3 linked regions of the Caenorhabditis elegans genome follow. The protein of the gene in region 2 interacts with the protein of the main gene of each other region in a pairwise test. Each region holds a gene or a part of one and is shown on either strand. Other genes may lie near its edges.

Region 1 (7,158 bases), on a different chromosome or scaffold from region 2:
TCAAGCCAGGCGTGATCTCATCATGATGCGGCAAACCGTTTCAGTGGCGGTCTACCTCTCAATTTATGAACTAGGAGCATTATTAATCAGAGTTTTTCCGGTAACACGTTTAATTTAAAACATGAGTTTAAAAAAATATTATCATTTTTGCAGACATTCTACGCAGGCCTTCCGGATTTGGTGCATAAAAGTTATTTTTACATCCGCTACGAGTCAATTCCACCCATGACTTTTTTCGTTTACTATTTGGAAACCGGAAGCACGCGTCGAATGCTTAAACGATTTTTGAAATTCGATGGATCAAACTTTGCGTCAGCAGCGAATCAAACAGTTGTACCAGTTGGTGCAAAACAACAGACGAGGGCCGTCATAAACCCACATTCTTAAGCAAGTATAAAAACTCATAATTTTTATAGAAATTATCATGTCTTTAACTGAATTGAGATGCTTGTTTTGTACTGTTTTAAAAAATTGCAATGACTAAATAAAATTGAACGTCGTAATTTTTGAGCTAACAAAATGTTTATTGAATCAATGTAACTGAAACAAACAAAATGTCATAGATGTTGGAAGTAAATAAATAATTAATTAATTAATTAATTAGGCAACAATTGAATTGTAAAAAATGAATGAAAAAGTGTGAAATTGGTTGACCTATTTGAGATTTTTGATAGAGGATTTTGTACAACGGTTCTGTCCACAATTATTAATAGGATCTACATCAACTTTGATGGAATTACAATATCCAACACAGCCATAACTCCGTTAAGACCGTAACCAATGTTATCCTCATTTGTGCTATCCTCAACAGTCCAGAAGTAGTTGCGGATTTGTGACTTCCATCGGAGAACATTCTGTAATAGTAATTTGAAATTTACCGTAAAATAGGGAACTCTACTAACAGTGAAGAAAGTGTTTTGAAGGCTGTAATTGTCGGTTTCGGAGTGGCAAGATGCATGAATACGGTCTACCAGGAGATGGCCACGTGACGTCATTGGCGAGTAGATTCCAGTTTTTTGCACAATATTGATGTCAAGAACTTTTACGCGTTGATACATTTGGGACTTCTGAAAATTTTGCTGTTCAGTTACAAAATGTTTTCATATATCGAAAATCTGATATTACCTTGCGGTGTGCAATGTAGAAACAGTCTCCAATGTTTACTCTCTCAGCTGGTACTGGGTTTGCATTTATATTCTCATCCTCAGAATAGGGCACAGAACATTGAGTTACAAAGACCAAATGCTTCTCGGTCAATGAGAATGTCTCTCCGTTGTCAAGTGTGAATCTGTAATTTGTATTGTTAAAACGGAATGCTCAAACCAAAGGTATTACTCTACAAAATCTGCAACTTGTTTTGGATCACGATGAAGCCAGTATTGAACCGGGATAAATGTTACTTGAGAGCCATTCTTGTCGAGAGCCTGAACCCAGTCTCCCACTGCGAGCTCATCCATACGTTTGAATCCTCCATTATAAACATTGACCATAGCGTCTCCAGGGAAGCAATAATACAATTCTGAAATGTGGGTTGGGAATTATTATTAAGGTGTAAAAACTTACGTAATCCAGAAGGTGCGAATCCCATTGGAGCATATCCAGCTGGTGCAGCAGGCTGGAAAAATAAATGAAGTTCGGAAAATTATTATATTAATTATGAAAAAAATAGTTTGCTGATTATATTGGTTAATGGAATGAGAGAGCGAAGGGTGATAATAATACAATTCATGAACTTATTTTATTGTAACACAATTTTTTAAATATTAAAGGTGGATTAGCGCCAGTGGGGAAATTGTTAAAAACCACTCCTTTGGTCCTAAAATGACCAAATATCATGATAAAACATTTCAAAACATTTTTGAAAATTTTTAATTTAATGTCAAAAAGTGGCAATTACTCAGTTTTTCCACTCATAATTTTGGAAGTCGACCGGAAAAAAAAATTTTTTTCGACTTTTTCATGTTCTAATTTTGTTTGAATTCATTGTATTGAAACATTGTAGGGGTCGAAGCATGCAACATTTCTTTAAATTTGCTCTAAAGCTCGTATTTTTCAAAATGTTGACAATTTGCCAACACTTTGACCGGAAATTATGAAAAATTTTTTGGAGTGTTTTATTATGACATTTGGTTGTTTTGGATCATTATAAGTGGATTTAGACAAAATCCCCACTGGCGCTACTTCACCTTTAAGAGTGGAATTGTATGATTACACTTATAATGATCCAAAACGACCAAAAAATAATTTTCAGATTTTTCATAATTTCCTGTCAAGGACTTGACAAATGCCAGAATTTTGGAAAATATGAGCTTTTCAGGAAATACAAAGCAATGTCGCAAGTCCGACCCCTACAATGTTTTAATACAAATAATTAAAACAAAATTAGAGTATAGAAAAATGTAGGGGAAAAAATTATTTTTTGGTCGACTTCCAAAATTCCGAGTGGGAAAAGCTGAGTAATTGTTACCTTTTGGCAATAGATAAAACATTTTTTAAAAAATTTTAAAAGGTTTATTATGATATTCGGTCATTTTGATAGTTTTTACATTTTCCCCACTGGCGCTACTCCACCTTTAATATTAAGAAGTATAAATGAAATTAATAAATTATTAAGTTATTTAATTAATTAGATTATTAAATTAACAGAACTGAAAAATAAAAATGGAAAGCTAGTTATCCAAAAAAAAACAGTATGCTTTTCTTACCACTGGATTTTGGACCACTTGAGGTTGGAATGCCTGTGGCTGGAATCCCTGCGGCTGAAATCCTTGTGGCTGGAATCCCCCCTGTGGCTGGAAACCTTGTGGTTGAACAAATCCTCCTTGCTGTCCTGGTGGTGGTGGTGGTTGAGGGTTTGTTTCTTGAACAAATCCTTCTTGAGCGACAATTTCCTCAATAATCACTTCTTGTCCATTCTGAACACCTTGTGGGACCACAAGCTGTCCAGTCTCAACTGGGGTCTCCACATCTACAGTTGGAGCTTGGTGAACGACAAATCGATGCCCGTTGACGTGGCGAATCGTGTTCTCAGAGTTTAAGATTTCAGCTGAAATTTAGAGTGTTTTTTAAAACAAGTCAATTTTTTCGTTTTGACTACAATTCTGTTGTTTTGTTTCACCCCAATATTACTTACGGACTGATCGATCAACTTTCTGAAGATCCAAGCATGAGAATCTTTTAATATTAACTTCGTAAAAGATTTCTCCTTCGGAATCAATCTTCTTCTCTACATTGCTAATATAGTCGAATGCATAAGGCTTATTATCTGCGAATATCTCTCCTCCAACAACAATTTGTCCGCCAGACACAGTTGCCACGCCTCGATCTATCGATGCACGCAATGGAGCGTAGGTGCAGCACTTGTAGGCAACACTGAAGCGAAATAGGTTGCAAAATTTTCAGAACTTAAAGGTGGAGTAGCGCCAGTGGGGATTTTGTCTAAAGGCACTTATAATGATCCAAAACAACCTAATATCATAATAAAAAACTCCAAAAATTTTTAGATTTTTCATAATTTCTGGTCAAAGTTTTGGAAAATTGCCAAAATTTTGAAAAATACGAGCTTTTGAGAAAATTTGAAGAAATACGGTATTTTTTGACCCCTACAATGTTTTAATACAAATAATTTGAACAAAATTAAAACATAAAACATGTCGAAAAAAATTTGTTTTTTAGTCTACTTCCAAAATTATGAGTAATTGCCACTTGTTGACAGTTAAATCAAAGGATTAAAGGACGATCCGTTCTTCAAGTGCTATGCACTGCGGACCTGGGATTCAGGTACACTGCCTGGTGGTGATCTTTCTGGGCTGTAATTTAAGCCACGTCCTAGCCGGGGACTGTGGCCGATAATCCAGTCGTGGATTGCTCCACTTCCCAATAGAGGCTGGGTGAACCTAGGGGTGAGGCCGGACTTGAACTCGTGACCTCCAGACTGCTAGCGGCCACCACTACCGACTGAGCTATCTGCCCAATTTTTTGAAAAGTTTTATCATGATATTTGGTCATTTTGGGACCAAAGGAGTGGTTTTTAACAATTTCCCCACTGGCGCTACTCCACCTTTAAGTCTGGTCTAGTGCTTACATTTTGGTGGTAGATGCATTCATGACTGGTGCAATTCCTCCAACCCATTGGTCCTCTGGGTTGCATGATAATGATTGGAATTCTTGTTCACAGCTCTGAAATATTTCATTAATAAAATAACTTTTTCATCTTTTTACTGATCTCCTTTTTTCTTTGATTCTACATATGGGTCATAAAAACCTGCTATGATGTTTCATTCATTTTCTCATCATTTTTCAATTAGCTTTTCCCTTTCATTCTCTATCACTCACTGCTTGCTGCTGCGCGTAAACTCTCGGGTCGGCCGCATCAAATGTATGAATAGCCAAAGGATCATCACGTAGGAAGCCGTCCGATTGTTGATCGATTCGGAAGAATTTGGCGTTGGTTGGAAGTTGGTGGCCATTTGAATGCCATCCAAAACAAGTTGGTCTTGCGCATCCGAGAATCGGTTGACCAGATGAAAGCACCTAGAATAAGTAGGGTAATTTGTCATGTTAAGTATGCTTTGGCGGAATGTTTATAACTATTATGTGTAAACGATTGCAGAAAGTTGAATGTTTTATAAGTTTTAAAAATGTCAAAATCGGTATGGTGTGTATTATACCCCGCCATTTTAAAAATTAATGTTTTAACCTATAAAAAAAACGTGTGAAAATTCAGGCTTAGGAAAACGCCATTCCTCAGCCTAACAAGTTAAATGGGTATCACGTTAAATTTAAGTACTACTATGGTGATAAACTTTCTATAATGAATATCTTATAATAATAAGGGATAATTTAATTCATTTTACTACAAGTGATTAATAATTATGAATCACAATTAACACTTCATACACACGTTTCATTATATAACTCTAAGCTTTGTAAATTGAGTCGCGTTTGTGACATTAGGCGTAGTACACTATTTAATGAAAAATATGCAAAAATGTTTCATATTGGTTCAAATTACTTGTACTTGTACTGTACTGTACTTGAACTGTACTGTCAACTACTTATAAAATTACTTGGGTACTTGTGAAGTATACCTGGACTAAAAATATACGCCATTTTTTAAAGTGAACATCCGTAACCCTTTTTGTCCATATTAGGCTCAGGATTAATGTTTTTTGAAGCTTGAAAGTGCAAGTTAGTTTTATATTATTTATCATTTTTTGAAATAAATAAATGGTATACTACAATAGTACCAAAATTTCAAAAAAAAAAACGGCTAACTTTAGCTAAAAATAGTATTAGAGAAATAAACCTAGAACCCGTACTCTGTTTTTCTATGTAGTTTAGGCCAAAATAACATTTAGCGGGTGTTTTTGTAAAAGCTTTGATTATTTTTATTACATTTCTTTTTCTCTTACCTCTAAACTATATGGAATTGTTGAATCTCCGCACTCCGATCCATATGTGAATTTATAGCTAGAAGACAACAAAACTAGTGCAAGTAAAGAAAACCTCATTGTATCTGAACAAATTCAAGACTATAATATTAGAATAGATAATTGTAGAAGTGGCAAGAAAATGATCTTTCAAAAAATATTAAAGAAGTGGAGAAAAAAAAAGAAAAAACTTATGAATTAGAATGAAATTAAGTGGTGAAGCATCCAGTTTAAATATCCAAGCGATTTCTTATCAAAATGGGCGGGACTACCTGGCCATCGTTTATCAAAACGCCTACCTTCTTGGATCATCCTAGCATCTACTTTGCTTCTTATTTTCTCTGTCCGGCAAGGTTTTGGAAAAAAAAGTACCATATCCTACAAAAAACTGGCCAGCGATTATGTTTTTTTTTCGAACCGCCTACGTCTGATTTATACGATATAAGGATCTACTTTGCTTTTCATTTTATTTTTCCGCCAAACTTTTGAAAGAGCTTATCTAATATCCTACAAAAAGCTGGTCAGCGACTATGTTTTTTTGCAAACTGCCTATATCTGATTTATACGATATAATTATTCACACACTCGTTATAGAAGAACAAAATTAAGAACCGCGGTGACTGATATAACCTGATGTGGATTCATTTGTTATATTATGGACATAAAATATTTTGGAACATATGAGACGTCGGAAACATGAAGACAATAAAGAAACAAAATTTAAAGCGAGTTTTAAAAAAGATTCGCAGAAATTCAAAATAATTGAGAGAAAAAGAACATATGGCTGGATGACACGTGACAAAAAAGTAGAAAAAATTGGTGAAACAAGAGGACTTCACAATATCATTTTAGAGTTTTGCCATAGCGATTCCAAATATTTCGCCGAGTGCCTCGAATACTGATAATGATAAACAACAAAGTCGTCAAATGAGTGCTTGTCGAATCCTTCGTTATGGATGAGACCAAGTCCGACGCAATTCGACAAAACGCCTGTAAGAAAACTAGCTAAAAAAAATAAACAAGAAAACTAGCGATAAAAAATTTCAAATATCATTTGGAGAAACTTGTTCAGAATAGATTGCTTTAAAAAATTTTTAACAGCGAGCCAATTTTTGCAGAATTTTGGCAACTTTGAATGTTCTTGAAAAATTCTATTTCTTTGAAAAAGTCAATTTTTTTCAAGTTTATCTTTCCAAAATATTTTAAAGTCTTCCAGTGTGTCTTTTCAGATTTAAACCTATTAAACTATCAAAAAAATCCACTTTGAAACAAATTTTACGGACTGTTTACAGGCCAAAATTAACAAGCTTCGAAGTGCTTCACTGTATCTAAATTTTAAGCCGTAATCTATTTAAAATATTTTTCAATAAGTTTTATTCAACAGTTTGGCTATTTTTTTGACATTTTGATGCTTGCTGATTTAACCACAAACCACAATGACCACAACAGTATTACAAAATATAATTGTTTGCAAGTTGAATCTGATATTTTGCAACATCCTGGCTTTCCTGTTAATATAAACAAGGTTTTCTTATCAATGGAAACTCGCTTTGAATTTTAGTTCCGTATGCAAAGCTTGAGAAAGATTCTGGGAATACATGATGAAATTATAAATTTCGAAAAAACTAGCTTCTGGGTTTCTTTTTTCTTCCTTGTTTATTTTTAAAAGCGTTAAATTTTGCTAAGTGGCACTGTCTGTGAGATATTCCAAATTATGAAATCGTTC
Region 2 (8,023 bases):
ATGTTTGGTTGTTGACAAGGAGTCCCTGGTAGCAAGCAGTTGGGAAATCTGGAAGAACTGCTGGTCCTGGTTTCACATTTGGATCCTTGAGGTTGCAGTTGTCCGCGTTGTTACAGCAGCAGGCAGTGACTTCTCTGTCACTCCAAAGTGGACGACAAGTATCCTTAATCTCAAGAGATTTGCAGATAGTATCAGCAACACAGTGATAAGTAGTGACATTGAAACCTCCGACGATTCCAGTCAATGAAGCGCATTGTCCGGAACAATAGGTCTCAGCTCCGAGGCTCAACGAATTGTAGGTAGATTGTAGACCAACGTAGCACTTGAGTGGGTTAGGAGTACGTGGTGGAGAAACAGTTGGGTCGAGGCAAGCATCGGTAGAACAGCAGCATCCGGAAAGTCCATTCTCAATGGTAGTACAATTGTTGTTCATTCCAAGTTGATAGCATGTGCTGACTGGATCGCAAGTGTAAATTGTAGCGTTGGTGAGAGCTCCATTGTACATGGTTGAGAGAGTAGCAGAAGCGCATTCTCCCTTACATGCTTGCCAACCAGCGATGGAAATTGGCATGTTATTGACGTAAAGACCAGAGAAGCAAGCGATTGGATAATCACGGAAGTTCGTAACTGGCATTGAAGTATTGATCTTTCCACCATATCCAGCCAAATCGACGTTGCAGTTGTTGTAGTTGTCGCAGCAGCATCCCGTAACTGTGGTATCATATGGAAGTGGTTTGCACTCGTCGTACATCTCGAGTTGTCTGCAGAATTGGGTTGGCACGCATCCGAAGATAGCAACTGGGTCTTGGTTGAGGGTAGCTTGAATTGAGGCGCACTTTCCTGGGCAGAAGATTTCAGATCCAGTGGCCTTTCCTTGAGCGTAGATTCCAGCGAAGCACTTGCGGAATCCAGATGGTACAGTCTTGTTCTTTGGTGGATCAAGGCAGAGATCAGTGTTACAGCAGCATCCGGAGACTCCTGGGATTGGGGAGGCACACCAGTTGTTCATGTTGAGAGATTGGCAAACAGTGCTTGGGTCGCATCCGTAAAGAGTTGCTGTGGTGGCAACTCCGTTGAGTGTAGTGTTCAATGAGATGGACGCACATTGTCCCTGGCAAGCTCCGAGAATGACTGGAGTAGATGGAACACCGTTGACATAAAGTCCAGTGTAGCAAGCAATAGCATAGTCGACTGAAGTTGGTGGTGGTGGTGGAGTGATGGTGGTATTGGCAATGTTACAGTTGTTGGCATTGTTACAGCAGCATCCAGTGACTTGGTTGTCATTCCAAACTGGTTTGCAGTTGTCGTAGAGTTCAAGGGAGTTACAGATCGAGTTTGGCATGCAGTGATAGGTGTTGACTTGGAATCCACCGACAACTCCTGAGAGGGATGAGCATTGTCCGTTACATGGAATTTGAGCTCCAACGTTAACTGCGCTTCCATTAACAATGTAGTTCGAGCTGATACCAGCATAGCACATAAGTTGGTTTCCTGGGTTACGAGCTGGATAGACTGTTGGATCAATACAGGCATTGGTGTTACAGCAGCAGCCGGTAATTCCGTTCTCAAGAGTGGAGCACTTGTTCAGAATTTTCAAATTACGGCAAACGCGGGATGGATCGCAGGTGTAAAGAGCAGCGGTTCCGGCTTGTCCATTGAATTGAGATGTGATGGATACTGAGACACACTCTCCTTGGCAAGTCTGCCATCCAGCCGAGCTGTAAGCGGTTCCGTTGATGAAAAGTCCGGAGTAGCAAGATATTGGAGCATCATTGAGTGGAGTGAGTGGAATGGTGGTGTTGATCACGTTGGCAAGATGGGTCTGTCGAACGTTGCAGTTATCAGCATTGTCACAGCAGCAAGCTCGGAATTCTGGGTAGTATGGCTCCATGCGGGCGCAGGAATCGTAGAGCTCGAGGGAACGGCATAGAGAGTGTGGAACACAAGCGAAGAGGGTCACGTTGTCATTGGCAATGCGAGCGTTAACCGAGGCACACTTGCCGTCACAGAGTTGTTCAGCTCCGGTTTGAAGTGATGGCACGCTGGTAGAATAGAGCCCGACGTAGCACTTGAGTGGTGGAGTTGGAACGGTCTTTCCTCTGTTCGGATCGAGGCAAGCATCACTGTCGCAGCAGCAAGCGGTGACTCCAGCTTCTGGGGAAGTACAGTTGTTATGAACTTTAAGTTGGTAGCAGACAGACGATGGATCACAAGTGTAGAAGGAAGCCGTGTGCAAAGTTCCGTTGATCGTAGCATTGATGCTGACAGAGGCACATTCACCGAAGCAAACGGAGAATTCCATTGGAGTTTGGTTGAATCCGTCAACGATAAGACCAGCTGGGCAGGTGATTGGATATTCAACACGTGGACGTCTTCTTCCGGGATTGTTGATTGGAGGTCTTGGAACAACTTGATTCAAGTTGCAGTTAGGTCCATTGGTACAACAACATCCAGTGATATCTCTATCATACCAGAGTGTGCGGCAGCTGTCATAGACGTACAAGCTGTTACAGACGTATGTTGGGACACAAGCGTAAACAGTGACGTTAGCGTTGGCAAGTGTTGAAGTAACAGATGCGCAGTTTCCTTCGCAGTATTGTTCTCCTCCGGCATTGAAGATGGTATTTCCCTTCAAATCATAGGAGTAAGCTCCGACGTAACAGAGGTTTCCATCTCCATATGGTTTACGTGGTGGGGTGGATGTTGGATCGAGGCAAGCATCGCTGTCACAGCAGCAAGTCTCGAATCCTTGTTCTTGTTGGTGGCATCTGTTTGTTGAGTTCATCATTCTGCAGATGTAAGATGGGTCACACGTGTAAAGAGAAGCAGTGGTAGCAACTCCGTTGTATGTGGTGTTCAAGTTGACAGCAACACAATCTCCCTTGCAAGCAGTCCATCCTCCGTCAGAGATTTGGCTTCCTCCAATGAAAATTCCAGAATAGCAAGCGCGTGGCATCTCATTTGGTGCAAGTGGTGGAATGGTGACGTTGAATCCAGACGTAGCAACGTTGCAGTTGTCGAAGACATCACAGCAGTACGCGTTGACGAATCTGTCCAAGTAGAAAGTGTTGTTCGAGTTGTCAAGTCCAAGGGAACGGCACATAGATCTTGGAGCGCAATGGAAGGCGGTGACATAGTCGGATCCGACAACAGCGGAAACGGTGGCACAATATCCGTCGCAAAGAACTTCAGCTCCTGCGATGTTTCCCTTGTGCTGGGTGCTGATACCGACGTAGCATTTGAGAGCTTTTCCTGGAACACGGTTGTAGGTTGGATCAATACACTCATTGGAGTCACAGCAGCAAGCAGTGAGAGAGTTGTCAATGGTGGAGCAGTTGTTACGAAGTCCCATCGCGGCACAGGCACTGCTTGGATCGCAGGTGTAGAGAGTAGCGTAGTGAGAGTTGTTATTGACGGTTCCTCCAAGGGAAACAGACACACATTCTCCGTCGCACATGCGGTAGTAAGGCTGGCTGATGTTTTGTCCGTTGAGATGGATTCCTTCGTAGCAGACAATTCTTGGGTCACGACGAGCTGGGATGGCAGTGACGTTGACTCCAGCTGGGGCAAGACAGTTGTCAGTTTCTGAGCAGCAGCATCCAGTGACTTGTGGGTCAGCTCCTGGGATTTGTCCACAGTTTCCGTAAGATCCTCCGAATCCGAGTCCGAAGTAGCGGCACATTCCAACTGGGGCGCAGTAGTAGACAGTTGCGTTCTTTCCGTTGACAACAGAGTTCAAGGATCCGCACCATCCATCACAGAATTGGTCTCCTCCAGTGTTGTATTTGTCTTGTGGAATAGAAACTCCAGAATAGCAACGAAGTTGTGGGCGTTGAGATCCTCTGTTTGGATCAATGCAAAGATCATTGTCGCAACAGCAAGCATTGACTCCTCCAAGAACGCTTCCGCAAGAGTTGGAGATTCCGGCTTGTTGGCACATTGTGACTGGATCGCAAGTGTAGATGGTAGCATTGTGAACTTGGTTGGCGAAGGTGGTGGTGAAGCTAGCTGAAGCACACTCTCCTTGGCAGAGTCCGTAAGCAGAGTTGGTGATGGAAACTCCGTTAACCCAGATTCCTCCGTAGCAGAGAACTGGATACTTGGCGGTAGACACAGCAGAGTTATTCACACGTCCGAGAATGTATGGATTGTTAACGTTGCAGTTGTTGCTAGCAGAGCAGCAGTACACCTCAAGTTCCTCGTCTTGTGGTGGATTGTAGGTTTGTCCTTCAGTGGAAGCAAGTCCGAATCCAGCGCAGACATCGTATGGCATGCAAGTGAAGTATGAAACTTGTTGTCCGTTGGCATTGAACCTGACACGTCCACATCGTCCTTGGCAGTTCATTTCAGCTCCGAGCCAGGTTGTTCCATTGTAAAGTCCGACAGCGCATCTGAGCTGCTTGACTGGGTAGACTGGTGGAACAACAGTTGGGTCAATACATTTGTCCATGCTGTTGCAGGCACAGCCGGTGATGAGAGCGGTTGGGACTCCATTGATGTTTTGGGTGTCAAGGTTCATGCATCCGCTGTCGAGGTTCAAAGCAGTGAAGACGTTGACTGGGTCGCAAACGAAGATCTCTCCCCATACATTGGCTCCATTGTAAGTGGTACGAATACGAGCAGATCCGCATTCTCCCAAGCATTGAGAGAAGGATCCTCCATACAAGAGAGCTCCGTTGACGGAAATTCCTTGATAGCATGTCTGGTTGTTCTTGTTCCATGGAGATGGAGTTGGTGGGTTGTTCATTGGAGCGAGGCTAGTACAATCTTGCTTGTAACAGCAGCATCCTTGAATGTTGGTTCCAGCGAGATTGGTGCAGGCGATTGGATTATTTGGGTCAATATTTGGGAAGATGCCGTCGCAAAGTCCTTGTGGCATGCAAGCGTAGGCAGCAGCGTCGTATCCGTTGTAGACTCCAGAAACACTGGTACATACATTTCCTGCGGAGCAAGTGACGGTGTCCCCTGATCCGAATCCTGGAGTAGTGTTGTTGGCATAGAATCCGACGTAGCAGAGGATATTGCTGCAAACACACAAAATCAGTATTTTACTATTTTTCTTTGATTTTCCTCCTAGGAAAATTTTGGCGATCGCCAAAAATATACTACATATGTATCAGTTTCTTATCACACGATTGGTATTTCGGAATTTAAATGCCGAGGAGCTATCGAGCCACATTTCATGGTTGTGTTGCATGCGCTATTGGCACAATCAGATAAGAAGCGCGCCCAAATGTAAAACAATTATTCCATTATTGTTATCAGTTTGACGTTGACTGTAGTCACAAATTGAAATTGGATTAAATATAGCAAAATAAAGCTTTGGAATTTTGGACTGGTTTTTGCAGTTTTCAAATTACAATATTTTATGAGAGTTTTTTTTTTAAATCAACGAATTTGAAGGTACACATTCTCAAATTGCATTTGCTTGAAAAAGTGTTAATGAAACACTCAAGATGAAAAATTGTTGTTTTGGTACTCATACAGATCTTTTAATCCAATAATTGAATGAATTGGTCCATTTTTTTTTGAAAAAGAAAGAAAGAAGATATACACCTCAATTCCTATCAGTTGTCAAAAAAACAGTGATAACAAAACTCACTTTGGGGCATTAATAACTTCGATTGGCTTTGGAATATTTTCTTCCAAGTCGACCTTGTTACACAACTCATCCTCGCAGAAGCATGATGTCTCAAGCTCACTGCTGGAGCAATCCTGTCCTTTGTTAATGAAAGCCATGAGCTTGTTCTCTTCGCATGTCAAGAGAACAAGTCCTCCGCTTGGAGATTTGACAGTTTGTTTTCTGCACAATCCTTCGCATTCTCTCTGAAGTAGTCAAATGGAAAAATATAGAATTTATATCGGTTGGACGTACCAATTCAACAGACTTTGATGTAATAACATTTTCCGATACAATTAGATTTCCGACTAAGCAGTTTTGTTTAGCACTAGCGAAACTACAACAGCCGGCAAGTGCCAGCAGGAAAATGCCCAAGCGCATCTGAAATTTGAATGTGTTAGTGGCAAATTAAATATTCAATTTCAACAAATGAAGAATAGGAAAATGATTGTTAAAACATGAGTGCGACTTCTCCGAGCGGAAAGAAGAAATTGAGTACCTGACTAATGTAAATTGAGTGAATTAAGCCTCTTATAATGTCAAAATTGTCGAAATTGGTTCATAATCGGCAATCGGTCCTTGTTAACTGTAGTTTCGATAAAACACAAAGTGGGTGGATTCTCAGAACCTTGAAGGCGAAACTTGTGAAGCAGAATACAAAATTATTGACTTCAGCTGCAAAAGAAACAAACAAAGAAAAAGAGCTTCAAAAAGGCATTTGGAGCAGGAAATTTGGTTTTATTGCACATTTTTGCGTCAATTCGTTGATTCAAAGGTGGTCTTGTGGGTTTATTGTCTCGAACTACAGTACTCGGTCATATTAGTAAGAATATGAAAGGGAAAGTACAGACAAGAGAAAGTGCGAGAAAACTTGACTGAAAAACTCAAAAAAGCCCACAGGGATGCGGAATTTGTTTTCAGATTTTTTTAACCATAAATACTGTGAAACTACGATGTAAGTAATAATTTGGTTATTTTATCTAAATTTTAAGAATTTTCCCGCTGGGGCTATTCGATTTTTAGCTTCTATCTAGTTGAGTACAGTATGCCAGTTTGAGCAGTTTGTGGGAAAAATACACCCATTTCCATAAAATCAGGTAATTTCAGAAACGCTTACTGACATTCCAAAACTACACCACTTATTGTTTTGTTTACCTTTTGCCACATCTCACTCGTTTGTTATCAGCACTGATCATAAAACACGGAAATTCGAAAGGAAATTTCAATATCAAAAAATCAAAATTCAATTTAATTATTTCTTTCTTTGAGAGCCTTGAATCTAAAAATTTTATAATGTATCTGAAACAACATTGATCGATATTTTAAAATTCCATGCTGGAAAAATTGGGTTTCATAGTGCGCACTGTGGTAATTTTAGTGCCAGTGTAATATTGACAACAGATCAACAAAAAAACTTAGTTAGCCAAATATCAGTTAAAAACACTACAATTCTTGTTTAATTTCAAGTTGTTTTCTTTGGGTTAAAGGTAGTCTAAAGGTGGCCTAAAGGTGGGTTTATTGTTTCAAACTGTAGTATTCCATCATATTAGTAAGGAAATTGCGAAAAAAAACGAAGTACGAGAAATTTTGACCGATGCCTTCTCCCGATCTTCCTTTAGCAATTTTCGAATAATTTTTTGTTTAATTTAAAAAAATCCACGGTTATACAGCTGAAATTTGAATTAATTGAAAATTGAAAACTGTGGCAACCATTAAACGCGCTCAATACCAATATGTATTAGTTGTTGCTAAAACGGAAGACCGACAAAATATGATATGTGATAGGCCACCTTTAATGGAGTGGCAATGCTTTTGTTTTGAATATTATTTTGTGTCGAGAAATAATTTTATTGTAAAGATCGCTCAACAATTAAGATTTAGAATCTTCAAAGAAAAGGAGAAAATTAAAAAAAAAGAACAAACAAAAAGTTATGCGCGAAAAGAGCACATATGTACATGAAAGAAATGAGAAAAATTATCTAAAGCTGGCCTAATGTCTAGTCAGAGCGATATACACAGCAGCGAAAAGTGCAAGAATTGAGAAGGTGATGGAAGATGAGCCCTTTGTGGTTGTGGCTGGTGATTGTGTGGTTACAATTCCTGGGCCATTGTTTGGACCAACGCAGTTATTAGTGCTACAACAGCATCCGGAGAGTCCGCCGTCAATAGAAGCACACGAGTTGGTCAAGTCTAGAATTGATTAATTTTGAATTTCGAAGAATAAATAATGGCCAGCTATGAAATATATTGGCTATACATTAAAAAAAAAAACTTACTCAAGGAGGTACAGACAGTAACTGGATCACAGGTGTAAAGTGTGAGTGTCTGGTTTCCACCATTGTATGGTGCAGTGTAAGAAATTGAGGCGCACGATCCAGCGCAAGCACTGTAAGAGTCAGCTGT
Region 3 (4,838 bases), on a different chromosome or scaffold from region 2:
GAAAAAAGGTGCGGTGAGTGTCCAAGGCGCGGCGTCCTAGAAACTATCGCCAGGACGGAAGGGCGCAATCCGAATGCAATGTGATCTACATATACAATGAATTGTCGACCCCAACACCGATTGACGACGCGACTAGAAGAAGAAGAAGAAGTTAGAAGGGGGAGGAGGAAGGGAAAATGAGGGGAGATGAAGAAAAATGGTTGTAGAATTGAAATGGATTGACAGTAAGGCTGAAGAAGTAGGGGGGAATGGGGAACGGAAGCAGAATGACATTTTCGTTTTGAAATGTTCTCGGTAACTTTTCGACTATTACAGAAATTTTTCTCAGAAAACTTGAACATGGTGCATCAGGTAAAAAAATCGATATTTTTTGAAGGAGCAGCAATAATTTTGTCTAGAAAAATAAATCCGAACATGGTGCATCGACTGGAAAAGTCCGATAAGTTTGGCGGTAAAACCTGAAAAATATGTGAGAGCCAAAGAAATTTTTTGAACATGGTGCATCGGACAAAATTTGTCATAGGAAATGACGTTCTTTTTGGCATTTTATCATATTTTTTCAAACAGAGAAAAAATTTCACTTTACTAGCACAAATTTTGAATGAATAATATACTGATAACCCTTAATATGTATGTAAAAGTGACAAGTTTCAACCGTAAACTTAAAAATTGCTAGTGTAGTTTTCAGTCGATGCACCATGTTATAAAATTACATCCAAGGTTACAGGGACCCCACAAAAAATTTTCTTTTTAAAAAACCTTCTAATCTTATTGATAATTCCCTGCTAAACACAAATACAATCACAGAAAGTACGATTTTGGTGCCGAAAAAGGGAGAAAAAGAGAGTGAAGCTGTGTTTATTTGCGCTTTCCGCCCTTCCCCAACTACCGCTTTTGCCTATTAAATTGGCGAGAAGTGAACGATAAGGAAAGAGCGGAGAACCGACGATCAGAAAGTTTGTGCAATTTTATTAATAAAACTGTTCGGAACCATTATTATATTAAAACCAGGGCTCCCATGTAGGCGCCGCGATCCGACATTTTTTGGGTTTCGCGCATTGCTATTAAGATTTCGGATCCCGGCGTGAGGGCGGCGTTTGCGGCACCCACATGGGAGCCCTAATTGAAAATTTAAAGAGTAAATCGATAGAAAATCCAATTTTCAGAATTCATTTCTCAAGTTACATGCTCTCAAATTTTGAGCACTAGAAATTGAAGACAGTCTGCACTCTCCCCTCGTCCCACACTCTCTCGGCTTTAAGTTCTATAAGCTTGTATCTCTGCGGTAGATTACTGTTATAAACGACAAAAAACTGGCTGAAGTATTGGGAAAATTTGAAAGAAAAAAAATTTTGCTGTTTTTCTGAATCAAATTCAAGCACAAACTGATATGTTCAAAAAGATGTGTCATACTGGCATTTCTGAAATGTTCACAATTTTTCTGTAAACTGATAAGAAACTTTGGCGAAAAAAAAATCGGATTTTGTAGTTTTTAAGAGAAGTTTTTGAGAGAGAGTAGAAAATTAATTTTTTTGAAATCAATTTTTAAAAATACAACGTCTTAAAAAAGTAGGCATAATCAGTGTGAACGGACCAATTTAATAAAAAAAAATGTTTTTAAAATATATTATAGAAATTTCCACTCCATTTTTGAATTTTAAAATTAGAGCGCATTTACCAAAACATACTAACGTGCGCCCAGCAAACCCACTAGGTAACCCTGTTTTTTAATTCTGCGTCTCTCTCTCTCTCTCTCTCTCTCTCTTTCACTCTCTCTATACACCTCCCGCCACTCCTTATTAGTATCCACCTCTACATTAGCAACAAATGACTAATTCAAGTGTGTTCGGAGGGTGGGTGAGCCGCTTCCGCCGTTACTTTGTGATCGCCCGCCACCCCCCGATCTTGCTTACAACTACTAAATTATGTATGCGGGAGACGAGAAGGTATATGTGATATGCGAAAATGTATGTAGGAACGAGTAGAAATGTTTGGTGGGGGGGAGGGGGGGGATCATTAGATTTTATTAAAAATTTGAGAAAAATCCAAGGATTTTCCACATCGAAACTATAAAATTGCACTAGAAGTTGGCAAACGCCAAATTTCAAATTCATCCGAACTTTAGAAATTTCGGAATTTTACCGAATTTCAAAAAGTATCGGGACCGCCCATCTGTGATCATGCCAGTATCAGTACCCCAATATCGATACAAATGATATTATGGTCCGACATCTAACGGGTTTCGCGCCCCACCCAGGCAATTGCAAATAAAATATAGTGCGGCGCAAAACCCTGCGGACGTCTTGCCATGATATCAATTGAAATCCCTATTTTTGCATATTCCCAGAAAATAATCCTTAAAGTGGTTGGGCCCGGAATTTCGTCAAATTTTGGAGTTTTGAAACTGCGGCGGTCTCGAAAAATTCTAGGTTCTGGAAATTCGTGGCGTGGGTGCTTTAGAGCTGTAACAGAATTTGGAAAAATTTTATATTTCCAATTTTTTCCAAATTAGGCATAATCCTGGTATCTTGGAACTTTGACATATTTTTTAAAAGTTCAGCAATTTGAAGCAGCGCCCAATTTTGAAAATCTGAAGTTTCGTGCCATTTTTCTCATTTTGGTGGAAACCTTCTAACCTTTTCACAGTGTGAAGTGCATAACATTACAATTTTAGGCACATATGTACATACTTTTAATCAGTAGATTTTTTGAAATGTTGAACTAGGAAAAAAGGAGGATTCACGGTTTAGAATCGTAAAAAATTCAGCTCAACATTTGGTGATTTTGGCCATTTTTTTAGACCCGCGGTTTTTTCATTTTAGTAGCCTGTTTTCTTATTTTAAATTTTAGTTTTTACCAAGGATTCAATAAAAACTTACCCATAGCTGGTCCCAACTGCAACTGTCGTTCATTGTTCGCCGCTTCTTCAAAAGGTTGTTACCATCCAATCCAATCTCGATTCCTTCTTTTTATGAACACTAATTGGAACTTTTTCGAGTTGAAGTCTGAAAAAAAACTCAAAACGTTAACAGCAATGAGCAGCACAAAAAAGATCCGAACAAACGAGAAGGAGAAAAAAATTGAAAACTTTAGTTCGTAAATAGGAACAAAAACAGTAATCTAAGCTGTTGACGGTTGGGCGTGTCGTGGAGCAAAAATGGAGAGCAATTTGTGGTTGGTGCTCATGGCACCGGGAGGCGGAAGGAAGCATAGGTATAATTGTGGGGGCTCAGGAGGGGGGGGTAAATTTTTTGTGGAAGAGCAGAGTATTTGGAGTGCTATGGGAGGTTGAAAAAAGGTGGAGAAAATTATTGCAAAATTGAGAAATTAATAGAAAAAATCAAGCTTAATCAAAAAAAAAACATTTCGCTAAAACGTGCTAGATTATTCGAAAAATCGGAAAAAGTTTAATAGCCGAAAATGGCCTAAAACCTCCAATTTTCAAACTTTTCCATATGGTATAGTTCACGGTTACCAGGTACCAGAAATTTTCAGCTACCGAATTTACAAAAATAGCATCAGCAAATAGTGAAAAAATTAAGAAAATCAGCAAACAATTTTTCACTTATTTCCGTTGAAACAGGCTAGACCCCAAAGAAACATTCCAATCCCAAATTTATCCGAGAACAGCAACACAGAAAAAAACAAGATAGGCGGTCACGAGAAGTGGGGTCCGCGGTCAGCTCGAGCACCCAGCTCGAGCTGCAGCAGCTCGGACCTCGAAAAGTAGCTCCCAAGAGAAGAAGAAAAAGAAGAGACGCTATTTCTCGCCCAATAGCATATGTATACACATGTGTGCGTCTGCGTATCTTGCTATCTAGGATAGACCTCGGGGTCCCGGGGTTTTCGGAGATATTGATGAGCGAAAAATGAAGAGTTTACAACAATACGCACGGCGCGAGATACCTAGTCTAATCAATTTTTTTCGAATTACGTTGAGGGAAATCTCGTAATTTTGAGTCTGAAGCTAAGCCTGAAATTAGGCCCGAGCTTGCCTAAAAGCTAAAGGGTAACCTAAAAGCTTAGTCTGTACCGAGGGACTCAGTTTTTGAAGAAGGGCATTAAGCTAAGAGCGCAGCCTAAAGGCTTAGACTTCAGGTGCCCAGCCATTACTTTGGGCTTCTTTGGGGCTTGGCGTTCGTGGGCTCAGAATTATCCTTCAACTACGGGGCTTAACCTTCTTGGTCTCAAACTTTGAAGGATGATAAGCCTGACCTCAAGGATTTTAAAATAAGCCTAACCTCAAGGAGCGGAAAAAATGGAGATGCGGCTTTCAAGGGCTCAACCGCCTAAATGCCTAAATAAAGAAAGTAAAAGTTAGCCTAAATGGCTTAGTTTTTGAAGGCTCAACTTTCTGGGTCTCCACTTTTTGGCCCTGACATATATTTTAGCCTTAACTTCACCATCTGCCTTGGCCCGAAAAAAAAAAAAAAAAACCTAAAGCTGACTAAAATATATATATATATACTGGTTTCAAAGGACTTCCAAAAAAGCCCTACAATCACTCTCAGAAAAAACTACCCAAAAAATGCTATGCTTGTCGTACCCGACGTTTCTCAAGGTAATATGCAAAACAGGCCTCCTTTTGTCCCCCCTCCTGCCTCGCCAATCTTTCCATGGCCAAACGCAAAAGTTCAAGTGACCCGCCAAATCGACGACAACACATAGGTAGTCGTGTCTCGGAAGGTTGAGTAGAAAAAAAAGAAGAATGGGGAAAAGGAGGCGAAGAAAATGTATTCGGAAGTTAGTAATGAAAGGTAGTACACCTAAGACAAGGTGACATTGGGACTGAGAATCGGTGACAAGGGGGTAAAATTCGAAAAATTCGGAGTTGTTCT

What was found.
Region 1: the proteins of gfi-1 (region 2) and wrt-4 interact in a two-hybrid assay, tested with the Caenorhabditis elegans proteins (one large-scale study listed by BioGRID).
Region 3: the proteins of gfi-1 (region 2) and toca-1 interact in a two-hybrid assay, tested with the Caenorhabditis elegans proteins (one large-scale study listed by BioGRID).

The regions. Positions count from the first base shown.
Region 1 is NC_003284.9:15,751,752-15,758,909, forward strand, and holds wrt-4 (Warthog protein 4 N-product), read right to left. Parts: upstream 5,519-7,158; 5' UTR 5,514-5,518; coding exon 5,415-5,513; intron 4,534-5,414; coding exon 4,336-4,533; intron 4,180-4,335; coding exon 4,085-4,179; intron 3,373-4,084; coding exon 3,134-3,372; intron 3,047-3,133; coding exon 2,706-3,046; intron 1,616-2,705; coding exon 1,564-1,615; intron 1,520-1,563; coding exon 1,336-1,519; intron 1,289-1,335; coding exon 1,126-1,288; intron 1,068-1,125; coding exon 903-1,067; intron 855-902; coding exon 717-854; 3' UTR 506-716; downstream 1-505. Other genes in the region: srxa-9 (Serpentine Receptor, class XA), read left to right, coding at 1-100, 154-387; bus-17 (Hexosyltransferase), read right to left, coding at 6,268-6,422. UniProt on the Caenorhabditis elegans protein: Intercellular signal essential for a variety of patterning events during development.
Region 2 is NC_003283.11:6,393,921-6,401,943, forward strand, and holds the start of gfi-1 (ET module), read right to left. Parts: upstream 6,012-8,023; 5' UTR 6,002-6,011; coding exon 5,876-6,001; intron 5,827-5,875; coding exon 5,603-5,826; intron 5,025-5,602; coding exon 1-5,024. Other genes in the region: bcf-1 (bacterial colonization factor), read right to left, coding at 7,611-7,810, 7,897-8,023.
Region 3 is NC_003284.9:1,518,483-1,523,320, forward strand, and holds the start of toca-1 (Transducer of Cdc42-dependent actin assembly protein 1 homolog), read right to left. Parts: upstream 3,006-4,838; 5' UTR 2,913-3,005; coding exon 2,880-2,912; intron 1-2,879. UniProt on the Caenorhabditis elegans protein: Plays a role in protein trafficking, actin organization and embryonic morphogenesis. Potentially acts as a cdc-42 effector. May play a role in hypodermal P-cell nuclear positioning.